Oreochromis niloticus: one gene and its partner. The protein of the gene in region 2 purifies or fractionates together with the protein of the main gene of each other region. This does not show direct contact. Links are inferred from orthologs where the notes say so. Each region holds a gene or a part of one and is shown on either strand. Other genes may lie near its edges.

The links. The genes of interacting proteins can lie anywhere in the genome.
Region 1: the proteins of ctnna1 (region 2) and tes purify together in Homo sapiens (affinity purification with mass spectrometry; 3 studies listed by BioGRID and IntAct, with this or other methods). This does not show direct contact. The link is inferred for Oreochromis niloticus from reciprocal best matches to the Homo sapiens genes CTNNA1 and TES.

The regions. Positions count from the first base shown.
Region 1 is NC_031972.2:41,431,104-41,439,396, forward strand, and holds the start of tes (testin), read right to left. Parts: upstream 3,159-8,293; 5' UTR 2,959-3,158; coding exon 2,932-2,958; intron 1-2,931. UniProt on the Homo sapiens protein: Scaffold protein that may play a role in cell adhesion, cell spreading and in the reorganization of the actin cytoskeleton. Plays a role in the regulation of cell proliferation. May act as a tumor suppressor. Inhibits tumor cell growth.
Region 2 is NC_031966.2:29,111,894-29,119,341, forward strand, and holds the start of ctnna1 (catenin alpha-1), read left to right. Parts: upstream 1-4,381; 5' UTR 4,382-4,738; intron 4,739-6,221; 5' UTR 6,222-6,234; coding exon 6,235-6,339; intron 6,340-6,568; coding exon 6,569-6,764; intron 6,765-7,448. UniProt on the Homo sapiens protein: Associates with the cytoplasmic domain of a variety of cadherins. The association of catenins to cadherins produces a complex which is linked to the actin filament network, and which seems to be of primary importance for cadherins cell-adhesion properties.

The DNA.
Region 1 (8,293 bases), on a different chromosome or scaffold from region 2:
TGTGTAATTAAGAATGATTCTTTTTGGGTAGGACTGTGTATGATTTTACTTGCATTTTAATACTGATGCAGAAATGATACTATATTAGTGGAAGGCAGTGTTGTCTAAATAAAAAGTTTGACCTGAATTATGAAAAAGTAAACAAGATTACAAAGTTGTGCAGGCATCTATTGCCAACTTCCAGTCCTTGATTCTCAGGGGGTTTCAGATGGTACTACAAAGTTGTGCAGGCTCTTGCAGATGTTCTGTCATGTCACACCTTAACAACAAAGTACTTGAACTTTGAGACAAAACGACAAATTATTTAAAGTGTCATTTTACAGCACCAACTAAAACATCATTTTCAACTTCGCAAGTGCAAACGTTTATTGGTATGCTTTAAGGGCGGACAGGCTAAGTGGTCGAAAGCCTAAATATTTATCTCAAGCATGGGGAAGACGACTGTTTTTGGCAGAGCTCATTCAGCATGTATGTATGTTTCCCTGGAAGGCAGCTGCACCATCTGGATTCACACTTCAAGTTAATCAATGACTTTGTTTCATGACTAAGCCTGTGGGGTGATTCATTTTGGTGACAACACTTTTGCTACAAGCCAGTTTAGACACAAAGTCTATTCAGGTCCAGTGATTCAGTTCATGAGTCACTTTACTTGAGAAGGGCAGAGCTGCAGGCCAGTGGCTAGGAAAGTAGTCGCTTTAGCTGGAGCTGACCAGCTCCTTTCAGAGGCTGGACACAGTTTCTGTAACATCATGAAGATGATGTAAAACATGTAAAACACATATTTTTTAAAAGAATGTTCAGTTACTTACATGTATGCATCTTGTGTCAAAGAAGTATCAGTCAAACCACCCTTAAAATTTATGAACAACTTCTTCTATTTTTAAGGCAAACTTTCCTCTGTAAAGGTGGAATACGGTCATAAAACATATTACTATTGTTCAGTTCACTTACTGTTGTTTTAGACAAAGATTTAATTGGTCTCATGACTCACTGGCTTGAACTGAAATTCAGTTCATAACACTGTAATCATTGCAGGATTTAAACAAATAGAGAAATCCTTTGGTCTGGTTCTATTTCGACCACAAAGTCATATGAAAGCTTTAATGATGGTTTAGGTGTTTAGGTAAGAAATAAACCTAGCCAGACCTCCACAGACTTCTAAGAGTCAGCAGAATGGCAGTGCTGTACACCGCAACCCTATAGTCACAGCCTATTACCTCAGACGTTCTGTTAAGTAGAATGCAGCACCTTAATTGAGTATAATATCACCTAAACACAATGGTAATGTTTCCTGAACAAGCGCAACACAGATCACAGCAGCATCTCTGTGAACTTGCAGCCACTAGCAGACAGAAACCCTGCAGCTGTGGCAGGCTGATCTCCCCCAGGGATTACAGGCAGATGTCAGACTGTCTGTCTGGGTTATCCAGCTGCTCAGACCTATTTAAGCAGAGGATTCCTTCATCTTCACTGAAACAGTTCGTCCCTGTAAAATTCTCTCTTAGTCAATTTTTCAGACTGAAGCTGAAAGCTCTGAAATTTGTATACAAAAGATTATTAATGCAGGAAAAATGTAAACCATATTTTTACAAGTGGCTGAAGACATTAATATTGCAGCTTAATAACTCATACAAAACGAACCACCAGTCTGTGTAACCACCTTTACTGCTGCCAAATCTCTTCAGGTCTGTGCAAGGACCCCCAAAGCTCAAGTTAACTTAGTAGCATAAGTTAACAGTACAGTACCAATGTTTTTGCACCATGCCACCAAAACACAATCCCTGTTTGTGTACAAACTTGTCAATAACCATAATAAATAACAACAACAACAATAATAATCCATATAGTTTGATTCTGGTAACTACAAAAGCTTTAACGAATGTTAAAATGCATTTTTCTTTTTCTAAACTACTTAAGAGGTTATAATAGCTTCTGTGGAAAATGCTGACTGGCTGATATTCATGTGTATTCACTACATAAACCTGGATTTCTCGAACAGAATTATTTATACAGATTATCTATGGACCATAAGTAAACTAAGCAGAAGGGGTGCATAAGAGGAATCTAATGAATGCGAACAGCGAGTATCTACAGTGGCCCCTGATGAGGAATGAATGACTATTCACTAGACAAAGCGTGTACTGTAAAAGGGTTTCCTGCCTGTCCTGACTCTTAACTTTTGTCTTCTCCCTTGGATGGCCAAACTCCATTTAAAAAACATTAGATTTTGAAGCATCTGGCTTAGAGTCTCAAGTGTATTATGAGTGACATGAGCCTTAATATTCCTGAAACCCTGCTGACAGTTCAATACTCAATTCGGCAGCTGTAACGGCAACATTTACTTATGGACAAATTAACTATCACACCTGGTTTGCATTTTACTGTCACGGTGATTTGTTCCACTTAATAGAGAGCTGAGGACGCTGAGCAACGCGGATTAATACAGTAACAAAACCCTGAACAAGGGGGACGACTTTGTACGTAAAATGGGTCCGTTAATGGGTCAAGCTGTTCCGCTATTAAGTTACAGAGGTTGGGGGTTTGGTTGATACGCAGAGTGAGACTTTGTCCCATTTCAAACGCAGTTTCTTACATAGGAACTTATTCTGAAAGGGAAGTAACTAAAAAGGGCGCGACCCACGTTTCCCAAGTTTGTAAACCGATCGACTAGAGTTTGTTCCAGCAATATCAACTACTCAAGGATGTAAAAAAAAAAAAAAGCTTATTTAAGCGAAGTAAGTAGATTTTTAATTGAAAAAATAAATAAATAAATAAAGACAATTAATATCTCGAAATTAAAACCGAAACTTAAACTCTAAAATAACCTACAGTACTGTAACTTTTCTGCCACCTGTCCCTTGCTCTGCACACCTTAAGGGCGTTCCCCGGACTGTGCGAGATATCCACGAAGAACACGGGGGCAAAGCTTACCTTCTTTAGCTCCTTCTCTATTTCCATTTTTGTGTTCAACGTTTTCGCTTTCCAGACGTGCTTCTCGTAAAAAAAAACCTGTCAAATCCAAACACAGGCAACAGGAAGAATGCGCCGGAAAAATGTAAAACAAATCCTGCTGTCCTCACTGAATTCTCTTTGGGGGTCCTGCTTCTACTCCGCACAGGTGGTAATTTCGCCGGAATCAAGTCGATAGTTTCCGTTTGGGCATTTCAAAATAAAACATGCACATTGCCCACTAATGAGTCGGGTCTTATTTGTGTCGGTATGATGAAATATTCAAATACTTGTGCATGTATTTTCAAAATCTATGTGTGCATTTGTAGGTGAGAATTTACAAATTGACTTTTTTGTTTTAAACTACAGGGGCGCCTCCAGGATTTTTTCATAGGGGTGGCCACTAAAAATACTGGGTCGGCACCAGTGTTGGTCAAGTTACTTGAAAAAAGTAATCAGTTACTAATTACTGATTACTTCCCCCAAAAAGTAATCCCGTTACTTTACTGATTACTTATTTTCAAAAGTAATTAATTACTTAGTTACTTAGTTACTTAGTTACTTTTTAAAAACACGATTTACAACCTGAATAGGTGATAAAGCGATAGATCTTTCAGCCCAATTCTACTTTTGCTGCATAATTCATCATACAAAATGTAATCAAATGGAAAAGTCTCTTTTTAAAACTTGTTTTATTAGTTTTAATCTTTTAACTTTATGCATCAAGCAAAAATTAAATTATATGCAACATTCTCTGACTGGAAGAAATTTGTTTAACATTTAAACCTATTTTCTGCACATTTCAGCACATAAAATAAAATATTTTTTTGTGTTTACACTCACTCTTTCAAATAGATGCAAGTAAAACACAGCAGAAAATAAATAAAATCAAAGACTAGCGGTCCTGTTGCTCTATTTTCACCTGTAAAGCAGGACTGGGGTAGGTGGAGGTTTACCCTGGTGCAGGTGTGCTGCAGCGGTCAGTGGAAGAATCCGCGAGTTTCTCTGTGAATTTCACATTACGTTGTAGTACACTCGGTGCTTGCTTGGAAGTTTAGGGGTTTTTCCGCTGTAAAAAGAAGTTTTCTTCCCACGCACAACGGACGCTAATGTTTTTGTCACTTTTTATGGACTCAAACTCAAAATAAGGTCAGTACTTCCACGCTTTAAACGCTGCATGCTACACTCTGTCCCGCACTCGATATATTATGATCTGCAGACAGCTGTTGTCACGAACGTCGCACTCGCTTACGTCACTGTCATGAGACGTTCTCGCAAAAAATCACGGTTTTAGTAACGCAGTAACGCAGCGTTCCTACGTGAAAGTAACGGTAATCTAATTACCGTTTTTGCAATAGTAATCCCTTACATTACTCGTTACTTGAAAAAGGTAATCAGATTACAGTAACGCGTTACAAGTAACGCGTTACTGCCCATCTCTGGTCGGCACATGCCAGAGTGAAGGGGGTGATGACGGGAAATCGTGAGGGACATACAGAATGACACAATATGAGTAATAAAAATTGTATATGCAGGAATTAATAAGAAGTGAATGTTTCAGCTCATTGTAGAGTGTCTTCCTCTCTCTTGCGCTCATGTTTATTAAAATTATTATCTAATTTTGGGGGGTTGCCAGTGCTGGTGTGAAGTAAGCAGCGTCATCCATTCGCTAGTTTTCCATGTGAAAATATTAAGCTGTGATCTGAAGTTTTAAAATTAGCCTGGGGATCTGTGTTTTTAGACAAACAAATCAAACTGTCACTGCGCTCAACTGCTGAAGTGACAGTTACATCCTAATGAATTAATGACACATTCAGATAATTATTTAACAATATATTTATTTTATATATTTATTTCATTCTGGCACTCCTGGCACTCCAGAGCAACAACGAAGTAAAACCAAATAAAGCGGTCTCAGAAAAGACTTTAAAAGGAAAACGCAACAAAAATATTTACTTTTACAGACTTATGAGGCTGCTTCATCACAGAACCCAAGATAGTGAAAATGAGGTATTGGACAAATAATAATTGGTTCTGTTCACTACGGCTATTTTGGCATGAAATAATAAACATGGGCACAGCAATCACATTAATTAAGCAAAACAGAGTTTTTATTGTAAACACCTGTAAACACTTGGGTATGCTTATTATTGGTCAAAATCAGTATGACTATCAATTTATAATCCTCAAAGACATATGAAAGGTACACTGTGATGGAAAGACCTGCTTTAACTATCTTACTTGGAGCCTGGTGTTAACTAGTTACGACACTGCAGTTTCTTAATCTTTTTCAACAATTTGGGCTCTTTTACTATGAAAAAAACACTTTCATTACTTCCGGACTTGCCTCATCTCTTCTTTCTTTCCTTTCTAGCTTGACTTTACTTTCACTCAGGAGGTCCCGTACACTTTTCATTGATGTTTGAACAGGGCGGGACTTCCGGTTTGACAGATTTTTCGTCTTAACCAATAAGAGTACAAAAACGAGGCACTGGAGGACAGGGTAGCCAACCAGGAAACAACAGGGGCGTGTCTTTACCTAACAAAGGATGTGAGTGTATTTGACACATTCAACCTGCTGCAGTTGCGGTTTTTCCCCCGAACCTTTTTTCCCCTCCTTCGATCCTCATTATTATGTGTAAATACATTCTAAATGATTAAATTATCTAATTATACACTAATAACGGTGTGAGAATTTGTGACGAGAGAAGATAAGACAAGAAAAATCATTTTTCATCACATATAACAACTGAAATAATCTTAGGACACGTTGTCCACAGACTTACAGCTGGTCCGTGTTGTGAACTGATGTTTGTGGTTTGAACCAAAACAGCTTCATTTTTGACTCAGTGACAGGAAACAATAGTCGTTATCAACTTCCTGTGTGTATGTTTAGTGGAAGCAGCACTGTCACACCCGGCCAGTTGATCTGTCATGTTAGCTGTTAAAGAACCGCGTTTTAATCCAGCTTTTTCGCCGATGCGCTCATTCACTGTGATGTCTGATCTATGCTTTCTGGTATGCCTGTAAACTCTCAGGCAACTGTTTTAGTGGATTTCGTCATTCAATCTGCTGTATCCAAACCCTAATAAAATCGCATCATGTCCGAAGAACCTGCACAATGCGGTTAAATATGTGACTCCAAGATGGGAAGTGGGTCACTTAAAAGTGACCCTGAACCAGAATACACCAACTATAATACTTTTTAAAAATCACACACACAAAATGAGAGAGTAACTAAAGTTAAAAAGTTCAAACGAGTGTGCCCCACCGTTCACCCTACGGATAACTGTGTGGATGCATGGAAGGAGTACATGATGCATGGAAGGGGTGGGGGGTAATACATACTCCCCACCCCAACATACAAGAATAAGGAAGCTGTACACTCTAAAAGTGCTGCATCACTGTGGCCTCAACAGAATTTACACTCTTTTGTATAGTTCACATTTCATGTACTTATTATCTCTCTAAACTAGGGGATAAGTTCAGCTCAAGGAAACTTTAACAGAGACATGGATCAAAGATACTGCCTGCTTTGTTTTTGTAAGTCTCTGTGAATTCTGCAGATGCTTTTTACTGTTTATTTTTCCTCTGTGCTGAGCTTATCAGCTTGGTTGCATAAGAAAAACTTCTAGATAGCAGACAGAAGACAGCCAATGGAGAGAGATGGCATTAGTGAGTAACGTTATTTTGTTACCTTGTAAATTTCCTTTCAATTCTTAAATTCCCAAGTATGTGCTAGATATCTTTTAAATCAGGCAATAAGAAGCAATCCAAGATGCTAGAATGCTGGAATTTTAAAGGCATTTCAAATTACTAAATGTCTTAGCTGTTCAATACTTACTCCTCAATAGGTCAACATTCCCAAGAACTACATCCACTAAAGGTGACCATTGTAAGAGAAGAAAACAAGACAAAAGCTGGGTATTGATGCCCAGCATATTAAAAAGTGATTTTGATGCCTGCCGTCTTCACAGGGAAAATTCATCTAACATTTGGTAGGTGTCTTTTTTTAAAAGCCTCGCACCTGCTAAAATGCCAGATGTAAAGTTTTTGTAGCATTACAAAACAAGTTATCTCATGTCTGGAAATATTTTTACTGACATGCAGGGTTCACAGTGCATGTGTCCAGGCAGCTGGTTTGAATTTAGCTCATTGATGCAGTCCATCTGTAGAGCTGCTCCACCAGTAAGAGAGAGGAAGCTCAGGACACTGCTATAGCGCCTAATACATATACAGTACAGTATATACAGTATTTAAGCCAGCCAGTTAATAACAGCTAATAGTGGATTATGATTTATTAATGTTTCATTGTTTTTTTCCTCCAGATAATCTGTCTATTTCACATAAAGTACCGTTTTTGTTTTTCAAACAATAAAATGGGGAAAAGCAATGAGGACGCAGTGACTAAATACGGTTGAATAAATATATTATTCAACAATAAAGTCATAAATAAATACATTCTCATAGCAAAAATAAAGCCATATATACTGATGATGATATCTTAGTGATTGATGAAATCAATTTTTGCCAGTTTATATCATAAACACCCACAGGTTAAATAAATCTGTGGAAACAGCTATAATTGCTCCATCAAAAGTTAGGAAAATGTGCTGAGCATCACCTCTTGGGTTCATTTATAAACATACTTTATATCTTATTTGCATATTATGAACAAAACCAGAGCATAAATAGGCCATGCAGGAAACTGAACAGGAAGTTAAATAAGCACACTGACCGTATGCAGTGTGTGCACATAGTTCCCAGCTATTGCATGACAACAATACATCTTATCTTATTTCCCAAATATCCTTTTAAAATCTCTTCATGGAAAGTGTGACAGTTTTTTTTAATCTTTAAGCAACTTATACATCGACTGAGCCATCAAACAAAATTGCTGACTATTTGCTATTTGCTTTTCTTATAATGACTTGCTTTTTAAACTGTAGAGGCTGGTGAGAAACAGTATTTCGTTTCAGGCTGGGTAACACCATACTAAATGACAATAAACTTCTTGAGTTCTTAAGTTATATATATATATATGTGTGTGTGTGTGTGTGTGTGTGTGTGTGTGTGTATTGCTAGCATTTGTGAGAACATAAACAGTTTAAAGATGTCAGAGCCTTTTTTAAATGAGTACTTTTTATATTAGTAATAATAATAACAACAACAACAACAGCAACAACAACAACAACAATAATAATAATAATAATAAAAAGAAAGTTTACAGAGTGACAAATTTAGGCATGGAATGATTAAGTTGCGGATTTCTTTCTGGTGTTTTTTTTTTAAATCATGGGGACAATTGTGTAACAAAGTATTAAATACTTCGCTGAGCAGAATG
Region 2 (7,448 bases):
AGGTTCTGTCAAAGCAGCTCCACTGGGATAGCAGGGAACAGTCTGATCAAAAAGCCTAAACCAGCAGGTGGAGCTCAGCAGACTGCAAAGAATAGTTTAGCAGTGTTTGAGTCATGGTCGCTGTGACCTTCCGATATGTCCAATCAGACAAGCAAGGCAGACCTCTGATATTATGACATCACCTTCCTAACACCTACCTGTAGGCATGTCTGATATGTCGTAAGGGCTTATTGTTTGTCCACTGGAATAATGTAAGTTTCTGTTCCGCTTTGCAGGACTGTCTCGATGAATGACTGATTATCATTAGCGTCACTAGTCGGCTGACTTCTCTCTGATGCCATGCATCACCACACACTCATTTCTAATCAAGGTACAGGGTCTTACTTAGGAAGGGGAAAGCCTGCAGATGACATCATGCAGCTCCATGGACAGCTGTCAGGATGAGTCAGGTGATCGTAGGCAGACTGAAAGTCGCTGTCTTCCTTATGTCAGGGAACAAAATTCCTCCAGCAGCGAGGCAGCTTCCAGTTCAGTCACCGTCAAAGCATGAGTAACTACTTTGACAGGAAGCTATAACATACAGTTGCATCCATGACTGAAAAAAACAATAGATAATAACACAATTGTGAAAGATGCTTACATTTAGTAGTCACCATGAGCATTTCTTTTATCGGCGTGGAGCAGTGCCAAGGACTGTGATTCAATAAGATGCTGTGTCCCCTGAATAGAAATGTAGAGCTAATCTATAGAATCAATGATAGCTAAGAGGAAAGATAGCATAAATACCAGTTTGGATTTTGATTTTTGTAATGTTCACCTGACATAGCGCAAAATAATATTGCCACATTTTCTTCTAGTGCCACACGCTGAAGATTTGCATGCACTCAATTATACATTCAGTATGTGACAAACATGTGCACTTCCACATAATGAGAAGGAATTATTTATAGCATGCTGCGCTCTTATCATTTGTCGGGCCCAACAGGTACAAAAAGATGAAGTTCAAGGACACCCAAACTTGTCCTCCCAGCAAGCTGTTACTTAGACAAACATTCATCATTCAAGAACACAATTACACCACATCTAAACCGTCTTCTCTATGGAGTATTAATTGGATAAACAGATCTCTGTTACACTATGTACATGCCAGTTTTCTCTGCTCTACACTGAAATTAATAATGCACACAAGATAGTTCACTGCTGTATTTCCCTCCCAAAGAATTTAATATGGAAATTTAATCCATGACTCCTTAAGTTATAGCATGGTCAAAACTCTATGGCAAAAACAATTACTTCACAAATTATTATTACACACACACACACAAAAAAAACATTAAGGAGTGTCTTTCTGAAAGATAATTATATTCCGAGGCCTTCATTAAGAGCTTGATAAGTACATTTGTAAGCTCATTCTCTCCAAGACTGTAATTCATGCTGCACTGGTGGAGCTTCTTAATTAACACCTACTCAAGCCAACAAATAGAAGTGTGTTAGTTGTGCTTGGCTGCAGGACAAGACAGCATTGTTGATTGTAATGTTCTGTGTGTCCACTGCTTTGAATTACTGATGACTGTCCTCTTTTTTTGGAACCATGACATGAAGCACTGTAGAAAAGTCTTATCTCACCCATCAGTTCTTCATATTTTGCTTGGACAATACAGATCTATTGAAACATGCAATCACGTATAGTTTGTGCGATTCTAACAGTTTTGAAGGTCAGTATTTGGTATGACTATCCCACACTGCTTCAATAATGTTGAGGTCCAGGCTCTGTGGATGCCAGTCAACGACTGATAGTGTTCCATTGTGTGCTTTTCTATTCAGTTATGCTTTCACTGCAGTGGCAGTGTGTTTGGGATCATTGTTATGCTTGAATATGAAGCTGTTGCCAATCAGACGCTTTCCACTTGGTATTGCATGATGGATCAAAATCTCATGGTACTTTTCTGCATTCATAAGTCAGTTTAGACAAGCTATCCAACACCACTGGATTAAATTCAGCCCCAAACCACAACAGAGCCTCCACCGTATTTTCCACATGGCTGTGGACACTCACTGCTTTTCCTCTCTCCTGAGCTACTCCATACATTCTCATAAAAATTAAAACCCACAATGTCAAACTTGGATTAATCGCTCCACAAGACCTGCTGCGATTCCTTTTTAGGCCTGAACAGACACCCCAGTGTTGGTTTTGTGTGTACAACATCATCATAACAATGTTGGCTCAACATTGCAACTGACCAGTCACGCTGTCGGAGCAAACCAACACAAGTAACCTAAATTTGGCTAAAAGAAACGCTAACTTGATCATATGTTTGTTATATTGCATAAAATTATTTTAAAAAATTAAACACTTACCATTTGTTCCATAAGAGTTTAATATAAACAAAGTAATTTGTTTTCTTTTTTCTCAATATTCCAAAGCTATGACATCACAAAAATATGACTGGTCAGTAGCAATGCTGACCAACATTAACAACACCAGCACAGAGATAACAGATTTTTTTAGTCCAGCTCTTATCTAATATGGCATACTTCAGTCTTTTTATTCCTCTGTTTGCCTTTAGTGGCTCTCCTGAACAGTAGGCCAGTTGTACTGCTCAGGTCAAGTCTTTGCTGGATTTTTCCCCCCTTTCTCAAGCACATGATTTTCACAGGTCCATGTTAAGTAGCTTAACAAACACAAAAACACATTCCTCCGAAAGTGGTCAGGTACAAGGACTGGACTGAAAATGACTAAAAAGCAAACAATGGCAAAAGAAAAGCCTGGAGGACTTTTACTTACAAACACTTTGCAATATTGCAAGAAAGTCTGGCTCCTTGGAAGCAAAATGTTACAAAATGAGGGGTAACTCAAGACTTTTTCACAGTACTGTATTTCTTTAAGAGGTGTCTTGTGCCATAAACACACATAACATTAGAAGGATACAGATTGAACTTAATTAATAAACTATTAATTGCCAGCTCTGCAGCTAGTTCTATACAACCAAGAACCAAGAACTGAAGCTACCACTGCTATACGTGTGCGCGTGTATGTGTGAATTAGAAAAGTGAGGCTAGAGGGGTGGCACCTGGCCTCTTTAGATAATCTATTTATGTCTTTCACACTTCATCAAGCCTGAACCAAAATACCCAGCACTTGAATATGTTTATCAAATGTCTCAGTGTTCTCAGTCACTGCTGAAACAAACCACAAAAGTGCAGTCCACAACATACGTGAGATATATTTGCTCTTGACCTCGTAAGAGTTGAATTCATACATGTTTGCATATCCACAAAGCATTTCTAGATATGCTGGTTAATTTACTTGTCTAGAATGCCTGCAGTGTTTTCGTATGATGTTTATTTATTAATAATAAATGAGTAAGTGGCGCTTCAACGTGCCCATTGTGTCTGTGCACCTGATGCCACATCAGCTGGCTTTCCCTAGGGGATTCTGTTATACAGAGTTGCTAACATGTAAAACCCATGAGCATAAACAAAAGATAAACATAATTTTAGTTTAAAACAAATCGAGCCGCTCAAAATTTAGTTAACATTAAAGATGAAAGGAGCTGAAAGGAAGATAATCAGCAAGTTAGCAGAAGGTACTGTGATGTGCAAAAGTTTTGATTCACCCCTCTAGTTCTGCATATTTATGTTTAATGAAATATGTGCTAAGATAAATAGAAATACAGTAAATAAGGAAAAAGTAGAGTTTGCACAATTCTGATGAGTTTTGCACGGCCCGTGATACTTCACAAAAAGATAGTTTCAGTTTGAAAAGGCTCTGTTTTACATTCTGCTAGCGACGCACACAGAGAGACAGAGTAAGAAAATAAGCATCAGACAAAAGAGCAACTGCCTGTGGTAATAACCTTAAACCTTGGAGTTTGTTATCGACACCAGCTCATTGCTGTCATTGAGTGGTGCAGTGCAGAGAGGAAAGTAAAGACAGGAGACAAAGGTCCAATACATGAGTTAACAATAATACGAGATTATGAACTGATTTGCTCAAGGAGAATTTCACTGTTTTTTTTTTTTTTAATGATTATTTTTTCTGTTGTGATAGACTTAAGAAGAGTAAATCTTTTCCTGGCTTTCTAGTTTAGCCGTTATGATTGCATCTCGAAGAAATTCTGGCAGAAAAAACAAAACAAAAACTATTACAATAAAATGTCACGTCTGAAAATCCCCTCAAATCAAATGTCATATTTGAACATCAGATTCCTTCATAATGACTACTTTCAGTTTATTTTCCTTCCTCGGTCAGAAGCCTGTTCTGTAGCCCAACAGTTTAAATAGCGCTTCCCTACTCCTGCCTTTATGGAAGCAGTAATTAATCCATATATGGACATACACAGCGAGCACCACGCCCAAAACACCTCCTGGTTTTACGGACTTGCTGTGGCCCGTGGCCTCCCTTCTCCACTGCCTGGAAGTTCAGGAACTTGGTCACCGCCCAGCGCCCCCCTCCTCCTCCTTTTACCGTATCTATTGTTGGGTAATACGTTACTCCATCGAAATTCTCCTAACCGAAACTTTTCAGCTGACTTGCTGGAGCGCTTGTGATACTTTTCTGTATAGCCGTCGGGCGGAGGGAGGAAAACTTAGGTGTTTATCGTGAGTGAGCGGCGCAGTTAAACTAAGTCCGTGGGGCGAGGAAACGGGAGGAAAACTTTTGACGCAAGGAATTCCGCAATTCCCATTCCTCCATTTTGAACTTTTAAACTTCACTTTGTCTAACGGACTGTTGTCGGTGAGTATATAACGAGTCTTTCTTACTTTATGTACAGTGAATACTTAAAAAAAATGAGTGGACTAGTTATTTGGACCGTCTGTTGAGGCGGTAAAGTTTGCCGCAGAAAGCAGGCTAACAGTTGTTTGTCGCTTAGCATTAGCTTTAGCTCATCGCTGTGTTTGGAGAGCTCCGTGTTACAGCAGGTAACCTGCATTACGCTAAGCTAAGCTGGTTTTAATGTTACCTGTAGCCTGCGGTTAATAAAGTATCGAAAATGACCTAGATGTACCGTTATTGGGTGTTAAATGTGTACACGAGTATTTTCTGCTTTGTATATTCTCGTTTGACGCTTTTTGACGGGGTAAAACCGACGTTTGTTTAGGTAGTTTTAGCAACAGGTGGAAGTTGAGCTAATGTTAGCACACCAGGTGTTTGACCCACCCTAGTGCTTCTCAGCAAGTGTTAACATGTTTCTTTTTTGTTACGGGATTTTTCCTGTTTGGATACAGTATATACACTTATTAGTACCTACATATGGCTTAGTTTGAGAGTTTTAAACCATTAATATTATTTTTGCCCAAGTCACGTACATAAACAATCAGTGGTCTCAAGCCTGCTAGACTGTTTCGATTTCATTTGCAGAGATTTGTAGATATCACTTTGCGACATGTACCACGCCCATGCAGAGGAGGTGAACGCAGTTTCTCCCACGCTGGCCCTTCGTGTCATGACTAGCATTTCACGTTGCTTTCAGTGGAAATGCGTCATGTTGTGTGGACAAACAGACGTTTCGTCAAACAACCTTTACAGAATTTCTTTTTCAATACACTGCCCAACATTATCAGTTTCACTGCGTGTTAACTCATGGGTAGAAACTCTGTGTATATCGGAAAGAAGAAAAGTGGTTAATAATACAGGAGAACTGAAAATGGCTCGCCTAATATATAACGATTCAGTATAAAATTAGACAGCCATGGTTACCATGTTCTTCTCTTAATATTTTTGTATTTTTGTTGGTAATGTAGGCTAATAGCTAGTGTTGTAATTCCTCACATAATACAGCTGACCAACTTTTCAGTTGAAGCCCCTCAGCCCTCGGGCCATCCTGATTATCCCTGCCCCTCCATGTTTGATAGCTAATCAATGGGGTCGCAGCCACTGCCTGAAAAGAGAAATTGAAATTGGGCCACTGTGTTGCTGTGCTCTGCCGTTGGCATTCATTCTGAAAGCAATGGAGCACTGCCGGCTCTAACAAGGACTTTAATAATTTCTTTAATGCACCGAGTTCTAGACACTAGTCTGATAATCTGAAAGAAATCTTGATTTATGAAGAAAAATTATAACTTTAAAGTCATTCAGGGAAGCAAATATTCAGTTAATCAAAGGACAGAGATGTCCATTTTTTCTGTAGTCTACATTTTCTGCTTCAGAAGAATTAATTTGTCATTTGTTTCATTTTTTTCTCTTTGACCTTTTTTTTAAAAAAACAAACAAAAAACAGTAAACTAGACATCATGACTAGCAACACCGCACCAAACATCAACTTTAAATGGGACCCGAAGAGCCTGGAGATCCGTACTCTGGCAGTGGAAAGGCTGCTGGAGCCTCTGGTCACACAGGTAATACAACAAGTATTAATATTATTAAAAGGAGGCACCTTACACATCTTATTTCACAAAACAGCAAAGTAAAAAAATATGATTTATTTCTGTGGTTCATTCTTGCATTTCACCATTTTAATACTGTGGTATTTTGCCTGGCAGTGTCATATGTTGTCTGTTTTTTAGACTTATCACTATTTATTAACTGTAGGCAGGTATATAATATCCTAATGAATCTCTGCCATAGGTCACCACTTTGGTAAACACCAGCAATAAAGGACCATCTAACAAGAGGAAGGGGCGCTCCAAGAAGGCCCATGTTTTGGCTGCATCAGTGGAGACTGCTACCGAGAACTTCCTTGAGAAAGGCGAAAAGATTGCAAAGGAAAGTCAGTTCCTCAAGGATGAGCTGACTGCTGCTGTGGAAGATGTCCGCAAGCAAGGTATATTGAAAATACGTATTGCAGCAGTGTGGCTTCATGCTTGTACAGAGTGCCTCTTAAGAAAGGACGGATGAAAAATAAACCATAAGCTATGTATACATCATCTGCTCCAGCAGAAATCCTTGAAATAAGAATGTGGTTTGAGTCTGATAGATTTCGTTTAGAAATGGGTTTTTCAATGAGGCCATTAATAGACTTTCAGTTTAAGCATGCACATGGTTCAGATTCATTTCATGCTAGATGGTGTCATTGCCTTACCTTCTGTGGGGATCAAATGTAACCACTTTTCCAGAGAAGCCTTTGTGTTCTCTTAGCGCAGTGTTAGGATACTCCCCAGTTATCTGAACTTGAGAATCAACCTCACCATATTCAGTGTTGTATTTTCTGTGCTACCTCCCGTTTCTTGTCCTTTGTTTTTGTTATAGAAGGATACAAAGATGTGGTTATATTATAGAGGTTTGCATAACATCAAATCAGTATTATTTTACTTGTGTTTCTTAATGTTCAGAACTTATTTTTGGGTAGTGTGTGGGGTATTCTTGGCTTTTAAAAATCCTTACCGAGGAGTCTACTATAAACTATGTAGTACTCACATGAAGAACTAAATTCCAGTTTAAATCTTGTGTTGGCCAGAAATCATAAAATGTATACAAATTAGGGTGTAACATGTAATTGCACGTTCTG